Ovis aries: one gene and its partner. The protein of the gene in region 2 binds, or shares a complex with, the protein of the main gene of each other region. Links are inferred from orthologs where the notes say so. Each region holds a gene or a part of one and is shown on either strand. Other genes may lie near its edges.

Region 1 (10,486 bases), on a different chromosome or scaffold from region 2:
ATTACAAGAGGCCATTTCCTCTATGCTCCCTCATTTGTCCCCACAGCTGACCGGTCCATGAGCAGCTCCCTGTCGGCCTCCCAGCTCCACACAGTCAACATGAGAGATCCACTGAACCGAGTCCTGGGTGAGGCCTCCCACCCTGGTTCCCGAGCCTCGTCTCCTCTGCCTCATTCCCTTCGTCACCTCTGGCCCATCTCCCCTGGCCGCCAGCTCTCCTGTCTCCCCCAGGCCCCCATCGAGTCCTTCTCTGGCTCGCCCTCAGCTTTCTTAAGTGCTTTCTCTTTCTGATGTCCCCATTTTGGGGACCCCCTTGGCACTTCTTTCTTCTCCCGGAATCTGACTGCTTCCCAAGCCCTTCTCACGGAATTCTTCTCCTGCCCCCCTCTTTCCTAGCCAACCTGTTCCTGCTCATTTCCTCCATCCTGGGCTCTCGGACCGCTGGCCCCCACACGCAGTTCGTGCAGTGGTTTATGGAAGAGTGCGTGGACTGCCTGGAGCAGGGCGGCCGAGGCAGCATCCTGCAGTTCATGCCCTTCACCACCGTGAGTGTCCCACCCCTGCGGGCCCCAGCCGGCCCCCTCTAGCTCAGAGCGGGTCAGCAAGTCTCAGGAGAGCTCAGGGTCCAGTGGCCAGTGGGGAGGGGCTTGTTCCCCCAGACATCACGCCCACCACCACCCCGCTCAGCAGCTGTCTGTCTGACAGGTATCAGAACTGGTGAAGGTGTCGGCCATGTCCAGCCCCAAGGTGGTTCTGGCCATCACGGACCTCAGCCTGCCCCTGGGCCGCCAGGTGGCCGCCAAAGCCATCGCCGCCCTCTGAGGGGCCTGGGGTGGCCACGGGGGCTGGCGGGAGCGTTCCAGCCCTGTGCGCCTCAGAAGGGAGCTTGCAGGACGATGAGCCATCGTTGCTCACGTCCACATGACGTAACCTCCCCCGGTCGCTTTCCAGATCGTTCCCCCTGCTCCTGACTTCTGACCTCCAGGACGGCTCCCAGTTTCTTTCATAATTTCCTCTCCCCACTGTCAGTACCTCATGTGCGTGCGCAGCCTGCTTCTTAACTCAGAGCAGGCTCTTCAACACCCCCGCCTCACCCCCACCCGCCTGCTTGTCCCCCTTCCAAGAGTGGACTTACCTCCAAGGAACTTTATGGGTGCGGGGTGTGTGTGTCTGTGTGTGTGTGTATATATATGTATATATATTTTTTTACATGAGGTGTGTTTGCCTCCTCTCAGTTGTAAATAAAGACCTCGTGGATCCCTTTATAGCCATCGGTGCCCGTGTCTGGCGTGGGCGGAGAGCACTGTCTTCTCCTTGGTCCCCTGCCGTCTGGTGGTAGAGGAGGCAGGCGGAGAGTTCAGGGGAGGGCTGGGCACGGGCTGGGCTTCCCGTGTTTGTCCACGCGGTAGGGGCAGGGCAGGGCACGGGAGCAGCTTCCCTTCCTCATACCTGCCAGCTGCCTCCCCCTGCTCGCAAAGTCTGATTTACTCTGCAAAGGGAAAGGTTTTGGCTGAGGGCCCCGCTGGTGCTGGGGTAGGGTGTCCTGTTCGTTCCGATGCTTCCCAGCCCTTCCAAGCCCCACCCAGAGTCTCACTGGCCCGGAGTTTCCTCTCCGGAGGAGGACTGACTTGGGGGATGAGGGGTGAGGGGGGTGAGGAACCACGGGGGATGAGGGCAGGAGCTCTGTTTAACCCTTCCTTGCCTGTGTCCCACATCTCCAAGCCCTGGTTTTTTCAGGACCAACCGCAGGGGGGAGGGCACCCTGAGCTGCACAGCTGGGATTCCAGCCCCCTCAGCCTGACCCTGCTTCTGAGGAGCCAGTGGGGAAGGGGAGTGGGAGGTGACTTGAGCCGCGGATGAGAATCTTGAGAGGGGACCCGGGGACTGGTTGGCTATCTGGGTGTCCTGGGTCTGGTGGTAGCAGCCCAGAAGCACATGTGCCTCCTTGGCCGAGAGGTCTGCCTCGGACCTGTGCTGTGAAGCGGCCCCTCCAGCCTCCCCAGATGTGAGTTCAGGCTGCGGGCTCCCCGCCAGGTCAGAAGCAGAGCTCAACGAGGGAGAGAAGCGCAGAGCCTGGAATTTGGGGTCTGATCCAAGCTGTCGCCCTGACTTCAGCTCCCTGGTCTGTAAAAGGCCCTTCATAATCCTATCTTTATGGGCAGCTGTGAGCACAGGAGGGGGAAGGTTTATGGAAGGTGGTAGACCGAAGCGAATACTAAATCCTCCTCGCATCAGGCCCACGTCCATCTGCGTCTGGACTGTTGAGCACCGCCAGCCCACTCTCTCCTCTCCCGGTACTGCTGACCCATCTGCTTCCTGTCCAGCCACTAGGCCGTGGCTCCTCGAGGGCAGGGACCACGCCTGCCTCATTAACTCCGCGCCCAGCACCCGGCCTGGCGTCTATGCCAAGTGGGTGTCAAGGAATGACCGTACCTCCTCTTCCCTCCCTTGGGCCTCGCCCGCCATTCAACTCCCCACCCGCAACCCCTGGCCAGGCACCAGCTGGACTCAAGAAGGAGGAAGGCCATTTACTGGAGACAAACACTTTATTATCGTGAAGTTTGGCTACAGGGAGAAAGTGGGGGCCGGGGTGGAAAGTGAACAGTTGAGTGTTTCTCTCTCACCTCGTCACACAAGCCCCCTCATCTTTCCTTTCCATGTTCCCAGTCTCACCCAGCAAGGCAGAGACACACGACCATCTGCCTAGCCCGAAAGAGAGTCAGAATCCTGACCCCAACCCCGGTGGGTTGGAGCAAGGTCATGAGCCTCATGGCGTCTATAGCGCATCCAGAAAAACAAGAGGCGTCACTGATGCCTGGGCTCCCCACACGAGGAGTCAAAATGTGCCTGAAAAAAGTCTTAAAAAGAAGAAGTTTCCCCAGCAAATTCATGGGACCCCAGGGTCAAGCATCCCACTCCAGCTGCCTCTGCTGGGCTTCATGCCCGAATGCAGGGCTGGAGCCAGGGGGCAAGGACCCAGTCGGGGAACACTGCTGTTTAAATATTAAACAGGGCTGTCTCGTCTCCCACCTGGGAGACTTCCCGATGCTTCCAAGGGCCCCGAGGAGGGCACCCTCAGGGTAGGGGTTCACTGCAGCTTTCCCCAGAACCCACAGCGGAGCCAGACCTGGAGCAGCTACAAGAAGTAATACTTGGTATTTACCAACTCCCTCCCAGTCCCAGTACACAAGACGGGGAGTTTTCCCCACATGGAGGTGGAAGGAAGGACCCAGGAGCCTGGGGCTCCTTTCTGTGCTTCCCTGTCTTTAAATATTAGATTTAAATAAGCATAAATATTAAATACAGAGATAAATACACAAGAGGGGAAGAGCTGTGCTCAGGGCTCGGCAAGGTAGCGCAGGCCACGGTATGCCAGCCCCAGGAAACGCTGCAGCTGGGAAGCAACCAGGACTCCTCCTGCTCGGCGCTGGAAGGCCGACGTGAAGGTCGGCATGGTGCCCTGGGTGGGCTGCACAGCAGGGGCCACCCCCAGGTCCTCCATCTGTGGGGGAAGATGAGGTCAGCAGTCAGGGCAAGTTGGCACAGGGAGGGAAGGCCGGGGGCTGATGGGCTGTGGAAGATCCAGGGTTCACAGTGGAGCCAGGACAAGAACCAGGTCCAGGGACTTGGCTCCGCCCTAGAGAACTCCAGGGCCCCAGGCTTGCAGCACTACCTTTGGGGACCAGCTCCCAACGAGACTCACCTGCAGCCAGATGTTGGTGGCAAAGTCGGTGACGTCCAGCTGCAGTGTGTCCAAGGTGGGAGCCAACTCTGGGGAGATGCCCGCCAGGGCCTGCAGGAGGCCCTGGTAGAGAAAGAGGCCGCCGTGCAGTTGGTCTAGGCAGCTCGTCTGGGGGGTCGGGTGGGAGAGTCAGGGGACGCCGCCTGGGATGCTCCCCTCAGGGCCCCTGCGTGGAGCCTAGAGAACTGGGGAGCCTTCCAGGTCAGCCTACCCTTCCGCCCCCTCATCTCCCTTCTCCCCTTGGGACACTCACCAGCTGCAGGGACTGGCTGGAGCAGCTGCTTAGGGGAGCCTGGGGGATGCCCAGAGAGTGCCCGAGCAGTACCAGCTCCTCCGGGTGGCACAGCTTGTGGGTGGCACACTGCGGTGGGAGGGATGCTGGGTGAGGGGCCAGCTCCTCCTCCTCCCCGAGCGCCCCCACCTCTCCACCCCCACATCTCCGCCTCCCCACCCGTCCTGCCAGGCTTCTCAGCCCCCTTCTTCCATCCAAGCTCCCAGCCGACCCTTCCCAGCACTAGAGGCTCTTCCCCCAGTTCCTCGCCAGCCGCCCTCCGGGCTGGGCCTCTCCTGATTCTCCTTTTCCCCCAGTGTCTTCTCTCACCGTGTGTCCCTTCCTGCTGCCCTTTCCCACGCTGCCCTTCAGCCCTGCTCTCTCCCTCAGCTCCCCCCCTGCGCCTCCTTCCCTCCCTGCCCTGCTACAGCATCTGTCCCCTCCCTGTCCCCACGCTGGCCTCCCTCACTCACCAGCCTCTCCTGCAGCTCGGCGCCATCAGCCTGGATTTTCCTCACTTGCTCTAAGCACTTGAGCAGGAAGCTCTGGGGCAGGGAACGGGCAGGGCCAAGGGGGGTGGCTTCGTGCACCGTCCAGAGCGCGCTGTGCCAGAGGAGCAGCTGCAGGGCTGGGAGCAGACAGGGGCTCAGGAGAAGTGCAGACCTTTCTGGAAGCCCAGGCATCCCTGCCCGCTGCCACAGCTCTCCCCTCCCAGGACCCAGACACTCACCCATCAGCTTCATGGGGCTCTGGGCAGAAGGCTCAGCCAAGGGTCTGGGTGAGGCTGTAGGTTCTGGGTTCTGTCAGGGACCAGCTCCGGGGGCCTTTATACTCAAGCCCATGGAGGCCTGGGAGGAAATTACCTGGTGCTGCGACTAACGCTTAGTAATAGCTTCCCAAGTTTTATGCAAATTTGTTGTCCAGGACAATGCAGGGGGGTTGGGACCAAAAAAAAGTGTTTGCGAAAGTTTTGTGAAATTGTGGAATCTCTGATTCTTCTTTGACGTCTTGCCCCCCTCAAACTCCCTTCCTCCCCTCAGCCCCACCCAGGTCTGAATTGCCCCAGAGTGTTTGAACTAAACCTCTGAACCAAACTGAGCTAATGATAAAAGGCCGGGAGGCTGGAGTCTGGTTGAACCTCAAGGAAGAGGCAGGCCTGGGGCCCTCCTCCGTCCCTCCCTCCCCTGGCATATCTCCTGGGTCAGCCCCATTAGCCACTCTCTCGGGATCCTTAAGCCACCTGCTCCCTAGGCCCCCAATTTGGAGAAGGAAGAAGCTAGTTTCCTCATTTCTATCCCGCCAGGTCCCAGGCGATAGAGATCGCCTCTCTGATTGCCCTCTTGAGGGGCCAGAGGCCTGAGGTAGGGACGTTGGGGTCCGGCCGCCTGTCCCCACCCCACACTCTGATGGGCATCCTCCCGGTCTCCATCCTGAACTGATTAGCTGGGAACTCCCCAATCCCCCCATGACTCATCCCTTTGCCCCCGGAATCCTGGCAGAGACCAGAGGAAACCGGATGTCTGTCCCGGATGAAGCAAGACCCTTCGAGGCTCTTGGGTCACCTGACCTTGTCCCTCCTCCTCCTCTTGCACTGACCGCCCCCCACCCCCACCCCCGGCCAGTGCCTCAGCACTTTGGAGTTGAGGGTCTGGGACAGGTGGCTTCCCTGGCGGGGTTCACTGCCAGCGGGCGAGTGTGTGCTGCCCTGAGGGGAGAAGGGCTGGGGTGAGAAAGAAGAAACCTCCTGGCCTCAAACCCAAGAACCACGCGCTGTCCAGGCTGGGAGAACTTTAGGCGTCTGTTCCAACACTGTGAACTGGGTCAGTGAATGAAGAGGCTCGCCCAAGGTCATGGATAGCAGAGTTGGAGTTATAACCCAGACCTCTGCCTCCAGTATGAGCGTTTTCCATAGGCCATGGGGCCTGCCTGGGGCAGTGTGGCCGACTGCATCTGAGACTGTCACTTTCTCTCCCAGTTAAGCCCACCAGGTGCCTTAACAGTCTTGGGAAGAGGAGTGGGTGTGTCTAACTGGTCCAGGCCATCTCTGGGGTGGGGGTGCCCTCTGGTGGTCACAGCTGGCAGGGCCAACAACCATGAATCAATTCATGTCCTGCTTCTGGTCCTGGCCACGCTGGACAGCCCTGGCCCTGCTGGACAGCCCTGGCCCTGACTCTACCTTAGGCCAGGACACTGATTAAGCCTAGTTCTATGCCCACCTTCATGGGAAGAGTGAATTTAACAGAACTGTTGGGAGTCAGGGCAAGAGTTCTCACAATCATGCCTTCTCTCCCTCGCCTTAACCTCCAGAGTGCACAGCCCACCCCAGATAATGTGTTGGGCACTCCCCGTTGTTGTTCAGTCGCTAGATCTTGTCCGACTCTTTGCAACCCCACGGACTGCAGCACACCACGCTTCCCTGTCCTCTGCAGTCTCCCGAAGCTTAAATTCTTGGGCATTGAGTCCATGATGCCATCCAACCATCTCATCCTCTGGCACCCTCTTCTCCTGCCTCCAGTGTTTTCAGCATCAGGGTCTTTTCCAGTAAGGCAGCTCTTTGCATCAGGTAGCCAAAGTATTGGAGCATCAGCATCAGTCCCCCCAATGAATATTCAGGGTTGATTTCCTTTAGGATTGACTGGTTTGATTTCCTTGCAGTCCAAGGAACACTTCCTGCACATTGGCAAATGCACTCTTTTAATAAACCTTATGACAAAATTACCAGAAAGATCTCCCCCTTTACAGAAGATGAATCTGATCTTGAAGAGGTTAAATGACGTGTCCCAAAATAGCAGAGCCAAGGTCTGCCCTGTGCCAGAGTCTTCAGCTCTTAGCTATCGAGTCTCTGCGTTCCGCCTTCCTCACCTGGGACCAGGCCAGCTCTGGACCCAAACTTTAATTTTCGCTTACAGTGCAGCTGTGTCTGATGTTTGGCTCAGAAAATGCTGATTCTAACAAGGGTGGCCGGAATGGTGAAAGGACTCAGGATGCTGATTTGAAAAAAGCAGACTTAAAAAAAAAAAAGCTTTTTTTGGTGAAGGGGCTGCTCCTTGTGGCACCTTAGTTCCCAGACCAGGGATCGAACCTGTGTCCCCTGCAGTGGCAACACAGAGTCTTAACCCCTGGACCACCAGGAAATGTCCACAAACTGGCAGTTTTGTCTGGCAAAGAGGAGAGGGTTGTTGTGTGGTTTCAGGGACCAGAAGTGGGATAGGGAGTGGAAGCCACGGCCAGCCAATTTTCAGCTCAAGAAGAGAGTGTTCTAACTACCGGAGGTGTTGAAGGATGGGGTGAGCTGCTTCCAGAGAGAGTGGGACTGTCTGGCCAGGGAGGTGTTCTGGCCTCCATCCCATACGGAGAGAATCTGGGTGAATGCTGGCTGACAATTAGAGGGCACCTCTTATATGCCAGGCACCTTCCATTACACTTTCTTCTTTCATCCTATCAACCGAGTGTGCAGAATCTCCATTATAGACAAGGGTTGGCTTCAGAGCAGGGAAAAGCCCAAGATCACAGAACAAACTGGGGGCAGGATTTGTGGCCGCCCTTCCTGAGCCCCCGTCATTCTCATTACACTGTCTTCCTATTCAGAGATGCACTTCTTGGATGACAGCTCAGCCCAGGTTTCAGCCCCGCCCGTGAGAGAATAAAGACCAGGCAGAGAGAGAGTTACTGGTTCTGATACATGTGGGCTGGGCCAGACTGAAACCGTCTCTCAAAGGGCCTGGCCCCAGAGACCCCTAGCTGTTGTTCATCCTCCCAGCTTCCTCAGGGCTTTCCTAATTATTTCTCAATAGCCAGAGCGGGTGGGTAGCTTCCACTCACACTTCCTGTTTTCATCTGGAACTGGGGCTTAGAGCACATCCCACCCCCCAACCCCTTTATTTTTGGCCACGACATGCACCGCATGGGGATCTTAGTTCCGTAACTAGGGATCAAACCTGTGCCCCAGCTGTGGATGCCCTGAGTCCTAACCACTGGACTGCCAGGGAAGCCCCAGAGTGTCTTTATACAGGCTCTGGAGTAATGCCTTTGCTGCAGACTTGGCCTGTGGGCTGAGATATGTACACCCCAAGTTGAGAGTGAGTGTTACATTTTTTGAAATGGCTGGAAAAAAAAAAGAATATTTTATCACATGTAAAAATCACAACAAGCCAGTGTTCATAAATAATTTGTTTAGGACTTCCCTGGTGGTCCAGTGATTAAGAATCTGCTTGCCAATGCAGGGAACATGGATTCAATCACTGGCCTGGGAAGATCCCATAGGTCGCAGGGCGACTAAGCCTGGGTGCCACGACTACTGAGTCTGGGCTCTAGAGCCCACAAGGCAACGACTGCTGAGCCCACACGGCAACTACTGAAGCCTATACACCTAGAGCTTGTACTCAAGACTAGAGCAGCCACCGCAACGAGAGGCTTCTGCACCTGGAGAGCAGCCCTGCTCGCTGCAACTAGAGAAAGCCCGCTCAGCAGTGAAGACCCAGCACAGCCAAAAACAAATAATTTGTTTACATATTGTTTATGCAAGTCCCCTTTCAAGAAGGACAGAAGTGAATAGTTGTGACTGCGGATATGGCTCACAAGTCTAAAAAACGTACTGTCAGACCCTTTAAGAACAGTTTGCAAACTATGTCCACAGGACACATGTACAAAGGGACACACAGAAATGTCCTCTGGAATGTTGTTTGTAACAGTTGGCCAATGGCCACCAGTAAATTAATAAATCGTGGCCCATTCATACCACGTATGGCTCCCCACCCTTCCAGAATAAAAACCCACGGGGAAAGGAGTTTGTTTTATTCAGTTGTGTTTTCAGTCCTTGGAACAGTGCTGGGTGTGGGTTTAAAGATGATTAGACCTCAAAACCCCTACTGAGTGAAAGGAACTTACTTTCAGGTGATACATCATTTGCAGAGATTTAAAAACTCAAGACAATACTGTATGTTGTAGTAAAAGTAGAAAAGTGTAAACTGGAAGGCTAGCCATTGGATTTAGCAGAGTGGCTGTCTTGAGGGAAAGATGGGCTTTAAACTTACCTTTAAAGATGGGCTTTTAAACTTTTGTTATTCTTTGTACTTCTCTGTAGTTTTCTAAAAAAAAAAAAAGACTGGAAGGTAGAGAACACAGTGAACTCTCCAAGCATAAAAATAACACTGAATTTCTCCAGGAAAAGGAAGCCAAGCCAAGGAGGATGGATTACAAGAAACTTCCAGATGCTGAGCAGACAGAAAAATGGTCCACAGACTCAAGGCGGGTGAGAACCAGGAAATCATGACAAATAACCCCACCTCTGTGAACAGCACTGATACACTCTGATCCATTACCAACCAGGAAAGGGTCTGGGGCACTCTGGGCTGGTGGTGACTTCAAGATCTGTCATTTTGAATGATAATAATTACAACTAATTATCACACACTCAGAAAGAGTCATTTCATTTATTTATTTTTGGCTGTGCTGGGTCTCCGTTGCTGTGTGGCTTGCCTCTGTGGTGAGCTGCGGCTACTCTCTCACTGCGTGGCAAGCGCTTCTTATTGTGGTGGCTTCTCGTGAAGCATGGGCTCCAGGGTGCGTGGGCTTCAGTAGTTGGGGCTCTGAGCCCTGGGCAAAGCCTCAACAGTTGTGGCACATGGGCTTAGCTGCTCTGCAGCATGTGGGATCTTTCCAGGTGAGGGATAGAACCCGTGTCTCCTGCACCGGTAGGTGGATTCTTTACCACTGAGCCACCAGGGAAGCCCCAGAAAGTCATTTTAAAGGTCAGGCAAAGTGGTCAAGGGCCAGAAGGACAGCAATGTGAGGACAAAAACCAACCAACCAGCAAGAAAACAGAGCCACAGGCTGAGACTGGAAGGCTGCACACACCCCACAGAACGGGACCCTCACTTGGCATCACATAGGCCAGGGTTCACGGCCCACCTAAGCCTGTCCTCACACCCTGGAAGGGTGTTGGGGCGGTGCTCACCATCAGTCCTCATCCTTTCTGGAAGGGAATTAAAGATCTATTAGATTTTTGAATTGGCCTATAAAATGAGGAAAAGATTGAATCCTTAAAATAAATTTTGGATGCAAGGAACTAAAGCAAGACCAGTCTAAAACATGCCTTTAATGGAATTAGGGCTATCCACAGATGAAAATGCAGTGCATGCCTGCTGAGTTGCTTCAGTCATGTCCGACTCTCTGCGACCCTATTGTATGGACTGTAGCCCGCCAGGTTCCTCTGTCCAGGAAAGAATGTTGGAGTGGGTTGTCATGGCCTTCTCCAGGGGTCTTTCTGGCCTAGGGCTTGAACCTGCGTTTGTCTCTTGCGTTGGCCGACAGGTTCTTTACCACTACTACCACCTGGGAATACACAGCGGACCTTGCCTAACAAACAAGACTTTATTCAACTCAGTGTGCTAGGCACTGGGCAGTCCTGGAGGGACAGATATGCCTCAAGTTCTCTCAGAATCTGCAATCTAGTTGGAAAGATAAGGCTTTCA
Region 2 (10,204 bases):
GTCTGGCAGAGCTGGCCTCCTAGACTCAGTACCTTTACCTTCCTGCTTTACCCTCCAAGATTCAGGGGGGGGTGGGGCAGGTGCTGGAATGGCAAGGATGTGTGCAGAGATTGGGAGAGGCTCTCGAGTTGAGATGGAGATAGTGGTGTGGGGGTAAATGTTTATCAACCTGCTATACCGAGAGAAACGGGTCCTGGCTTGTAGCCTGGGTTGCTTTCCCTGGTGTAAATATTCCCACCGGGGCTGATTTCAAGCTACCAGGCTGACATTACTGAATGTGAACTTGGGAAAAGAGGTACACAATCAGTGCTTGCAAGCCAACGCCAGCACGCCACCAGATGGAGACCAGTCCCCTCCCCAACAATGGCGAAACAATGGTTAGAGTGATAAGAAGCCCGCGGCCACAGCAATCTTTCCAGAATTCATATCTGATTGTTACCCTATCATGACCACAGCACTTCAATGGCACATTATTCTTCTGAAAGGCAGTGCGCTGTGATGGATAAGAGCGTGGATGTTGGAACTAGACTGCCTAGGTTTAGAACCTGGTTCTACTGCTTAGTAATTTTGTGACCTTGATGTTACCCAGATTTTCTGTGCCCTGGTTTTCTCATCTGTGGCATGAAGATAAAAAAGTCCTTAACTTAGTGATGTTGGGAGGATTAGATGTGAGAATATGCGTAAGGCACTCAGAACAGTCCCTGGCATGTAAGTATTTGCTGCTATGATTAGGTTAAAGACTCAGATCCTTCTCACAGCCCAAGACTTAGATCCTTCTCACAACCCCTGTGGCCTGGCCCCTGCCTAAACCTCCTGGTTCCAGCCCAGACCACTGCCTCTCAGCTCCAGTCCCTCTAGCCTACATGCTATTCTCTGAAAATGCCACGTTCCCTCCGTCTCCCGATCTTCATACCTGCTGATCCTTTCAGAGGTGCTCCTTTTCCTTTCTGCCACCCCTCTTTCACCTGGTTGACATTCAGGCATCTTGTGAGGAACCAGACCGGGTTCTGACCAGTCAGACCATGCCAGGGCCCCTGAACTTTCCCAAAGCTCATATCTTTCGTAATTATAGAGTCACGTGATGATTTGCTACTCTGTACCCCCAGCTAGACCATAGGTTCTGCAAGGCCAGAATCCCTGGCTGTTTTGCTCACTGCTGCATTCCCAGAGCTGAGCGCCATGCAGGCCCTTGGTGAATATGTGTGGAGTAAGAACAAGCACTGGACTCTGCCCACAGTGCCTTCTCTCCTCTCCCAGCTGTTCTGCAGCCCATTTTGCTGATGGGGATGCTGAAGCCCCAAGAGGAGGAGCAATTTGTTCAGGGTCACAGAGCAAGTTTATAGGGCTCCTATCACATCACAGACTCAGAATTTCAGACCAGGACTCTTGCAACTGTTTACTTCAAAACACCATGTAATACCAAGTCCTCTACCACAGGGCTAGGATGATCTGTTTTGTATGGCTTGCCAGCTGAGAACACTTTTTATATTTCTAGAGGGTGAAAAGCCAAACCAAACAACAAATAAGCAAGAACATGCCACAGAGACTGTATGTGGCCTGCAAAGCTGAAAATGACGTCAAAGTTTGCTGACCCCTGTTGGGCCTTGGCTTGCATACCCCTAGAGATGGGAGGCTCTGCACCTCTCAAGATAGTCTCCATAGTCTGGAGAGCTGTGCCTGGGATTCATTTTTTAAAAAAAATTATTATTATTTTTTTGGCAGCACCATGTGGCGTGTTGGATCTTAGTTCCATGACCAGGAATTGAACCTGTGCCCCCTGCAGTGCAAGTACGGAGTCCTAACCACTGGGGACTCCGACAGGGAAGCCAGGGAAGTCCTGGAGATTTCTTGCTTAAGGATTAAACCTGCCTTTTCACGGCTTCCACCCTGATCCCTCTACAGCCCACGAAGGCTGCACAGGACTCAGACACAACCCAGTAGAGATTTGCAGACAAGACCTGGGTCTTTTGCACCTTCCCCACGCTGGCTAGCCCAGGTCCTCTCACCTTTCCTCAGAGGTGGTGGTTTGCTGGCAGAGGTCTGTGTGTGGGAGCCCAGCTACCCTGCATCTGTGGCCCAGTCGATTCTCTGGGAACCCCAGGAGCACTGTGACAATGCAGGGAAATGACCCCCTCCTCCATCCCCAGCATCTCTCCCTGTGATCCCCCCACCCCATGGCACCCTCATCCCTGACCACACTCACTTCTGGGGAGCAGCAGGATGATCAGAGCAGCTCCCACCAGGCTCCAGGCTCCCAGCCCCACCATCGTGCTGGCTTGGTCCTCACCTGGAGACAGAGAGGGTGGTGAAGGTCATGGGCTTTGGAGTCAGAGCTGAGCTTAGTCTTTGCTCTGCTACGGTGTGGCTTCAGCCAGGTTACTTGACCTCTCTGAACCTGGTTGCTCTGCAAAATGAAGGTAACAAAAACCTATACTGCATAGGGTCTGGGGAGGAAGACCCAAAATGATGCAAGTCAAGGGCATCGCACGGTACCTGGCACATAGGAAATGACTCTTAAATGACTGTTATTCTTATATGTGCCTTTAAGGAGAGAGCAGGGAAGGGAGCCACAGGGAACAGCATTCTTCCCGTTCCCTTCTGTTTTAGCCAGTCTCCCAGCCTGCTAAAAGCAAAGCCTGAGATGAAGGCTTGGCTGCAGGTAGTTTATTTGGGGGAAGACTCCAGGAACAGAGTAAGGGAGAGGGGAGAATGAAACGGGTAAGAAGGAAAGCCAACACAAGGGTACATCATTAAACTGGGTACAGCTGGGGCTCAATCCTGCTGGAATCTTGCAAGGAGCCACGCTGAACATGCCTCAGAACTTGGCTGGCAGACAGGATGGGAACATTGTCCACCGGTTCCTGCCCCTTGTTGGTCAAGGGCTGTTCCTTGGGGTATTAACTCCCTGGCACGTATCACATTGCACATGTCTGAGTACTGGGCAGGTCCTCCAAGGTAAGCCATGCTCAAAGAGTCAGAAACGCTCACTGCCTGGCAGAAAGGGACAACCCCACGGAACAGCTGAGGACAGGGTGCACCTTGAAAAGCTGGCTTCCACAGCAATGGCTAAAGGGAAGGGTGGGTTGAGAGGATACCCCAATTCTGGGCACAGACCTCTGGAGGCCTTCTGGGACCAGATATCCTGTGGTCATGGCGACAGTGCCCAGATGGAGGGAGCATTAGTACATTAGTCTCAGGAAGTAAGCAAAGGTTTCTATTGCTGGAGTGGCTTCCAGCCTTTCCACTCTGCTCCCACTGGAGTCTTGGGGCCAGACACCTGGTCCTCCGGCACTAACTGACGTCTGGGTGGCAGATCAGTGGGAATCGCTGACCAGCTTTTGCATGTACCTACATGAACACGTACATGTAGGTGGCGTCCCAACCGATCCCCTGTGCTCAGAAAAGATTAAGCTTCTTTCGCTCCAAGACAGAGGAGTGAATAACTGCAGATACCCAAAGCTGTTTCTGCCTGCAGGGGTCTTACTTAAATCCCTGGTCCCTCATTATATGTTGCAGTATCAGGATACCAGGTGGATGCTAGCCCCTAAGTCATCTTTTTGCAAATCAGGAAAAAAGCATCCCTTTCTCTAGACAAATGCAGCTCCACACAAGGACCTAGCAACTAGAGAACAGGCTGGATTTCAGCCTCTACTTTCTGGGCAGCTTTGTGCAGTGAGAAACCCGCACAATTGTTCAGAGGACCCCAGTCTACCAGTTAGTGGTTGGCAACCTTGTTCCTACAGCATCCGGTTTGACTATCCACCAATGCACACTTGTTGGGGAAGAGTTCGTCTCCTTGGCTCAGATTTCAGGACACTAGTGCCTGTTCCTATGTATTTTTGATCATTTCCTAGCCCTCCTGCCTGGTGAGGCACCACTTATCCCTCTCCACGGGCTCCCAGTAGGCAACCCAAACCCAAATCCCAAGGGCCCAGGCATCTTCTCCCTGGGTTGCCAGGGGTTGGCACAGGGTATCAGTCCCTGGTCACCCATGGCAACCTTGGATATTCCCCACCCCAGCCGAGTGGGATCTGGGACCAGGTGGAGCATGGCGTCACTTTCTGGGGGCCCAGCTTTGAGTCATCTGAACCCCAGGTCCACCACTTACCAGCTTGGCGACCTTGGACAGATTATTCCACCTTTCTGAGCCTCGGTTACCCCATCTGTGAAGGAAGGATAACAATAGCTCCTGCCTCTCCGGGTCGGGGTGAGGATGAAATGAGATGGTCCGTGATAAGGGCACTTAGCACAGATCTTGCGTAGAGGAAGCGCTCCATAACCATGTTACTTTCATGCGCCGTAAAGCAGGACACCCCCTCATGGAACCAGCATGGTTTAGTACCTCTCTCGCCTGCTTACCAGCTGTGTGGTCTCTGCCTCCTAGGACTGCCACCTCGCTTTTGTCTGTGTCACATTTCATGTTTCAAAGCCCCGTTTCTGGGTTCCCTGCTCCTTGGCCTCCCAGTCTCCCCCTTTGCTTCCAGCCATCCCTGCTCCCTCTCTGGACTCTGGAGTCCCAGCATGCCATGTTGTCCCCTGGGGTCACTGCACCACCAACCCCTGCTCCCCACCACCCTTCTGCTTTCCTCTCCTTTCCATCCCATCACACTCAGCCTTCTCGCCTCCCCCTTCTCCAGTTCACGCCCCTGTCTCCCCTGTTCTTTCTACTCCCCTTCACGTGAAGATTCTTGGGAAGAGGGTTGGGGAGAGGAGGGGGCTGGGACAGAACAGGGAGAGGACTTCCTAGATGTGGTTCAGACAGAGAAAGACAGGTGGAAAAAGTAGGAAAGTGGGATGCACAGACCAAAATGCTGGAGAGAGATCTCAGAGAGAAAGACTGAGGGGGAGAGAGAAAGGAGCCTGAGGCAAGGGATGGTGATACTCAGAGACGGAGGCACTCGGAGGCTGAGAAGAAAGAGATACTCAGAGTTTAAGACTCAAGAGACAAAGGGACCCTTGAGAGACAAACAGAGAGGCATAGAGAGACTCTGAGACAGACAGACAGGAGCTCAGAGCCAAGCAAGCCAGAGAAGGGCTGAGGAGGAAAGAGAGAAATTTACATGGTGTGAAATTTACATGGAGACTGGAAGCAGTTAAGACACAGGCTGTCAGAGACTTGGAGGCAAATAATGAGTATAACTTTCCCTGAATCCAGCCCTTTCTTGAGCCCAGCTCAGTGTCCCAAAGAGATATTTGTCTGTCTGTGACTTCCCAAATGCAGCACCCACCCCCCGAAAAAGTAGGGGCACCTTGGGAAAAAAGACTCAGTGTCAAGGGCTCCTGGTTCCCAGGGGTAAATTCTTAAGGCTGGAGTGCTGGTCCAAGGTTACCAAGGGCCACGCGCCCTTGGCAGAGAGAAGGGACTGGACCTGAGACTCCAGGGTCCCATCATTCCCAGGCCCAGCCCTCCCAGGGGCTCCCCTACTCACGCTGGAGCCTGCGGCCGGCCGGGCACACGCCCGGCCTCCCCGTCTCTGCTCTCCTCTTCAAGGCAAGTTCCTGAAAACAGCCGCAGGCGGGCTTCTGTCCCCAACCCTGTCGTTAATGGCTCCGTCTCTGACAGGCGCAGGGGCTGCCGATTGCAACACCTGCCCAACTCCTTCCCTCCCTTGCATTGTTGACGCGGGCACGGGCAGCCCCTTCCTCCCAGGAAGGAGCCTGGGAGGGAAGCTGGTGAGGCCTGGGCAGCCTTCCTGCCTTGGGGGTCTTGAAGGGGCTGAGAGATGTGGCAATGTCGTCCCCCACCTCTGCCTCCGGATTTCCTGACTCAAAGCTTTGAGGCTGGCAGGGCCCAGGCTCCAACCCGCCTGGGTGCCATTCCCATGCCCCCATGCCCTGGGGGAGCATCACTTGGAGACAGACCCTGGCTCGAAGGCTTGCTTGGCCCTAAGCCTCTTTTCGGCACTGGCTTTGGGGCCCTGATCCTCCCAATATTCAAGGGGCGGCCTCCAAGGTTACGGGGAATTCTGGACCACGGTACCTTCCTCCCCGCTCCCTCTGCACGTCATGTTCCCCCTGCTGCCTGAAGGCCTTGCAGAAGCAGAAATACGGACTCTGGGCACAAGGCAGGGGTCACTCACGAGGCTCCGGTCTTCATAGGCTCACGAGACATTAATAATGTTCACTCTCAGTGATTCTGCCAAACTAAATGTTTTCCATTGAGTGAAACAGACTATATTTTATGTCTTTCATGGTCTGTATCCACAAAACCCTGCAGCTGTTTACAAATAATTTTCTGTGCATTTTCTGAAGAGGGTTCAGACTGTTCACAGGTTCTTGGATTTATGACTCAATAAAGATTAGGCAAAAGTAGGAAGTCAAGAAACACCTGGAGTAACAGGCAAATTTGGCCTTGGAATGCGGAATGAAGCAGGGCAAAGACTAATAGAGTTTTGCCAAGAGAACGCACTGGTCATAGCAAACACCCTCTTCCAACAACACAAGAGAAGACTCTACACATGGACATCACCAGATGGTCAACACCGAAATCAGATTGATTATATTCTTTGCAGCCAGGGATGAAGAAGCTCTATACAGTCAACAAAAACAAGACCAGGAGCTGACTGTGGCTCAGATCATGAACTCCTTATTACCAAATTCAGACTCAAAGTGAAGAAAGTAGGGAAAACTGCTAGACCATTCAGGTATGGCCTAAATCAAATCCCTTATGATTATACAGTGGAAGTGAGAAATAGATTTAAGGGCCTAGATCTGATAGAGTGCCTGATGAACTATGGAATGAGGTTCGTGACATTGTACAGGAGACAGGGATCAAGACCATCCCCATGGAAAAGAAAGGCAAAAAAGCAAAATGGCTGTCTGGGGTGGCCTTACAAATAGCTATGAAAAGAAGAGAGGTGAAAAGCAAAGGAGAAAAGGAAAGATATAAGCATCTGAATTCAGAGTTCCATAGAATAGCAAGAAGAGATAAGAAAGACTTCTTCAGCAATCAATGCAAAGAAATAGAGAAAAAGAACAGAAGGGGAAAGACTAGCGATCTCTTCAAGAAAATCAGAGATACCAAGGGAACATTTCATGCAAAGATGGGCTTGATAAAGGACAGAAATGGTATGGACCTAACAGAAGCAGAAGATATTAAGAAGAGGTGGCAAGAATACACGGAAGAACTGTACAAAAAAGATCTTCATGACCCAGATAATCATGATGATGTGATCACTAATCTAGAGCCAGACATCCTGGAATGTGAAGTCAAGTGGACCTTGGAAAGCATCGCTACGAACACAGCTAGTGGAGATGATGGAATTCCAGTTGAGCTGTTTCAAATCCTGAAAGATAATGCTGTGAAAGTGCTGCACTCAATATGCTCAAAACTCAGCAGTGGCCACAGGACTGGAAAAGGTCAGTTTTCATTCCAATTCCAAAGAAAGGCAATGCAAAAGAATGCTCAAACTACCGCACAACTGCACTCATCTCACATGCTAGTAAAGTAATGCTCAAAATTCTCCAAGCCAGGCTTCAGTAATACGTGAACTGTGAACTCCCTGATGTTCAAGCTGGTTTTAGAAAAGGCAGAGGAACCAGAGATCAAACTGCCAACATCTGCTGGATCATGGAAAAAGCAAGAGAGTTCCAGAGAAACATCTATTTCTGCTTTATTGACTATGCCAAAGCCTTTGACTGTGTGGATCACAATCAACTGTGGAAAATTCTGCAAGAGATGGGAATACCAGACCACCTGACCTGCCTCTTGAGAAATCTGTATGCAGGTCAAGAAGCAGCAGTTAGAACTGGACATGGAACAACAGACTGGTCCCAAATAGGAAAAGGAGTACGTCAAGGCTGTATATTGTCACCCTGCTTATTTAACTTCTATGCAGAGTTACATCATGAGAAATGCTGGACTGGAAGAAACACAAGCTGGAATCAAGATTGCTGGGAGAAATATCAATAACCTCAGATATTCAGATGACACCACTCTTATGGCAGAAAGTGAAGAGGAACTAAAAAGCCTCGTGATGAAAGTGAAAGAGGAGAGTGAAAAAGTTGGCCTAAAGCTCAACATTCAGAAAACGAAGATCATGGCATCTGGTCCCATCACTTCAAGGGAAATAGATGGGGAAACAGTGGAAACAGTGTCAGACTTTATGTTTTTGGGCTCCAAAATCACTGCAGATGGTGAATGCAGCCATAAAATTAAAAGACGCTTACTCCTTGGAAGAAAAGTTATGACCAACCTAGATAGTTTATTCAGAAGCGGAGACATTACTTTGCCGACTAAGGTCCGTCTAGTCAAGTCTATGGTTTTTCCTGTGGTCATGTATGGATGTGAGAGTTGGACTGTGAAGAAAGCTGAGCGCTGAAGAATTGATGCTTTTGAACTGTGGTGTTGGAGAAGACTCTTGAGAGTCCCTTGGACAGCAAGGAGATCCAACCAGTCCATTCTGAAGGAGATCAGCCCTGGGATTTCTTTGGAAGGAATGATGCTGAAGCTGAAACTCCAATACTTTGGCCACCTCATGCCAAGAGTTGACTCATTGGAAAAGGCCCTGATGCTGGGAGGGATTGGGGGCAGGAGGAGGAGGGGACGACCGAGAATGAGATGGCTGGATGGCATCAGTGACTCTATGGACGTGAGTCTGAGTGAACTCCGGGAGTTGGAGATGGACAGGGAGGCCTGGCGTGCTGCGATTCATGGGGTCGCAAAGAGTCAGACACGACTGAGCGACTGAACTGAACTGAACTAACACACTAGTGAAGTGTCCACACCGTATGACGCATTTCAGGAAAAGTGAGCTTCTGAGTCTGTTGCGAGGGGGCAGACTTGGGTTTTGGTTCTGGTTCCAGTTTGAAATATCCATCTGTCGGCAGCTACCTCTCTGAGGTGCCCCATAGGATCCACATGCTCAGCAAATCCCATCGACTCTTCTTTCAAAATATTAGAACCAAAATCCTGAGTAGATAGGTATTCACTGTAAAGTTCAGCTTGGCCATATGTTTGGATATTTCCCTGATGAAAAGTTGGAAAATATAAATATCACTTAAACCAATAGCAGCCAGCTCTAAGCCATCCTTTCTTTTACCTGGATCACTGCAATGGCCCCCCTTCCCCTCCCCCTTCCATTCATCCTTGTACTGACCCCTGCCCCCAACCATCTATTGTTCCTTCAGTGGCCAGTGTGATGCTGATCAAACAGAAGTCAGGTCATGTCATCCTCTGCCCCAGCTCCCAATGGCTCTCATCTCACTCAAGGTCAAAGCCTTTTCAACAACCTACAAAGCCCTTTTCAACTAGGGGTTCTCTCTGGCCCTTCTGTGACAATTCTTCCCCTTGCTGCTATGCTCCAGCCATTCTGTTGTACTTTTCAGGCTCCCTCCTGCCTCTGGGCCTTTGCACTTGCTGTTTCCTCTGCCTGGACTAATTTCCCCCAAATGACTATATGGGTCACTCCCTCCCCTCCATTTGAGCAGAAAGTGATTGCTCAAATGTCACTTTCTCATTGAGGCCCTTACTGACCACCCTTTAAAAACTGCAACCACCCCTCACTCCCTAGCTCCCTTTCTCCTTTAATATTACCTCTTCATCGTCGCACACTGGCTGTCCCTGCCGCCTAGAATGGAAGTTCATGAGAGCAAGGGTTTTAGTGTATTTTGCTTAGAAACTCATCTCCAGGATCTTCAACCCGTCTGTCACGTGATGAGCCCTTGATACAGGTTTGTTGAATGAATGATTGAGTGGATGCACCTTCCCTCCACTTCACCAAGTGAAAGGGAAAGTGAATGCGCTCAGTCGTGTCCGACTCTTTGCGACCCTATGGACTATACAGTCCGTGGAATTCTCTAGGCCAGAATACTGGAGTGGGTAGCCTTTCCCTTCTTCAGGGGATCTTCCCAACCCAGGGATCAAACCCAGGTCTCCTGCACTGCAGGCAGATTCTTTACCAGCTGAACCACAAGGGAAGCCACTTCACCAAACCTGTCCTCAATCCCTGCATACCTCATCTTGTTAAATGACACCACCCCAAACCCCCCAACACCCGGACCTGGGAGTCATTCTTCACACCCCTCCCTCACACCCTCACCTCCAGTTAGTTCCTAATGAAGGAGAGTGAGCTTTTTGTTCATCATTCAGAAAGCATGTTCCTCGAGCAAGCGCAGGGGCGTGATGGTGCCCTGATGGAGCTCTCAGGCTCATTAAGAGCTGTGAAATCCGTCTCTTCTCCCTGCCTTTGTTGCCTCTCCCCAG

What was found.
Region 1: the proteins of CSF3R (region 2) and CSF3 are in contact, whole or in part, in a crystal structure (PDB 2D9Q), measured with the Homo sapiens proteins. The link is inferred for Ovis aries from reciprocal best matches to the Homo sapiens genes CSF3R and CSF3. Residues at the interface, in NP_000751.1 of Homo sapiens: Arg164, Arg190, Lys191, Leu193, Leu194, Leu195, Tyr196, Gln197, Asp220, Met222, His261, Ile262, Asn263, Arg311, Pro313, Leu314; in NP_000750.1 of Homo sapiens: Ser42, Leu45, Lys46, Glu49, Gln50, Arg52, Lys53, Leu141, Asp142, Asp145, Thr148, Thr149, Gln152.

The regions. Positions count from the first base shown.
Region 1 is NC_056064.1:40,075,625-40,086,110, reverse strand, and holds CSF3 (granulocyte colony-stimulating factor), read right to left. Parts: upstream 4,876-10,486; 5' UTR 4,757-4,875; coding exon 4,744-4,756; intron 4,642-4,743; coding exon 4,487-4,641; intron 4,104-4,486; coding exon 3,996-4,103; intron 3,851-3,995; coding exon 3,704-3,850; intron 3,503-3,703; coding exon 3,338-3,502; 3' UTR 2,528-3,337; downstream 1-2,527. Other genes in the region: MED24 (mediator of RNA polymerase II transcription subunit 24), read left to right, coding at 47-127, 397-545, 706-822. UniProt on the Homo sapiens protein: Granulocyte/macrophage colony-stimulating factors are cytokines that act in hematopoiesis by controlling the production, differentiation, and function of 2 related white cell populations of the blood, the granulocytes and the monocytes-macrophages.
Region 2 is NC_056054.1:11,308,282-11,318,485, forward strand, and holds the start of CSF3R (granulocyte colony-stimulating factor receptor), read right to left. Parts: upstream 5,508-10,204; 5' UTR 5,430-5,507; intron 4,164-5,429; exon of another isoform or gene 4,109-4,163; intron 2,288-4,108; 5' UTR 2,268-2,287; coding exon 2,204-2,267; intron 1-2,203. UniProt on the Homo sapiens protein: Receptor for granulocyte colony-stimulating factor (CSF3), essential for granulocytic maturation. Plays a crucial role in the proliferation, differentiation and survival of cells along the neutrophilic lineage.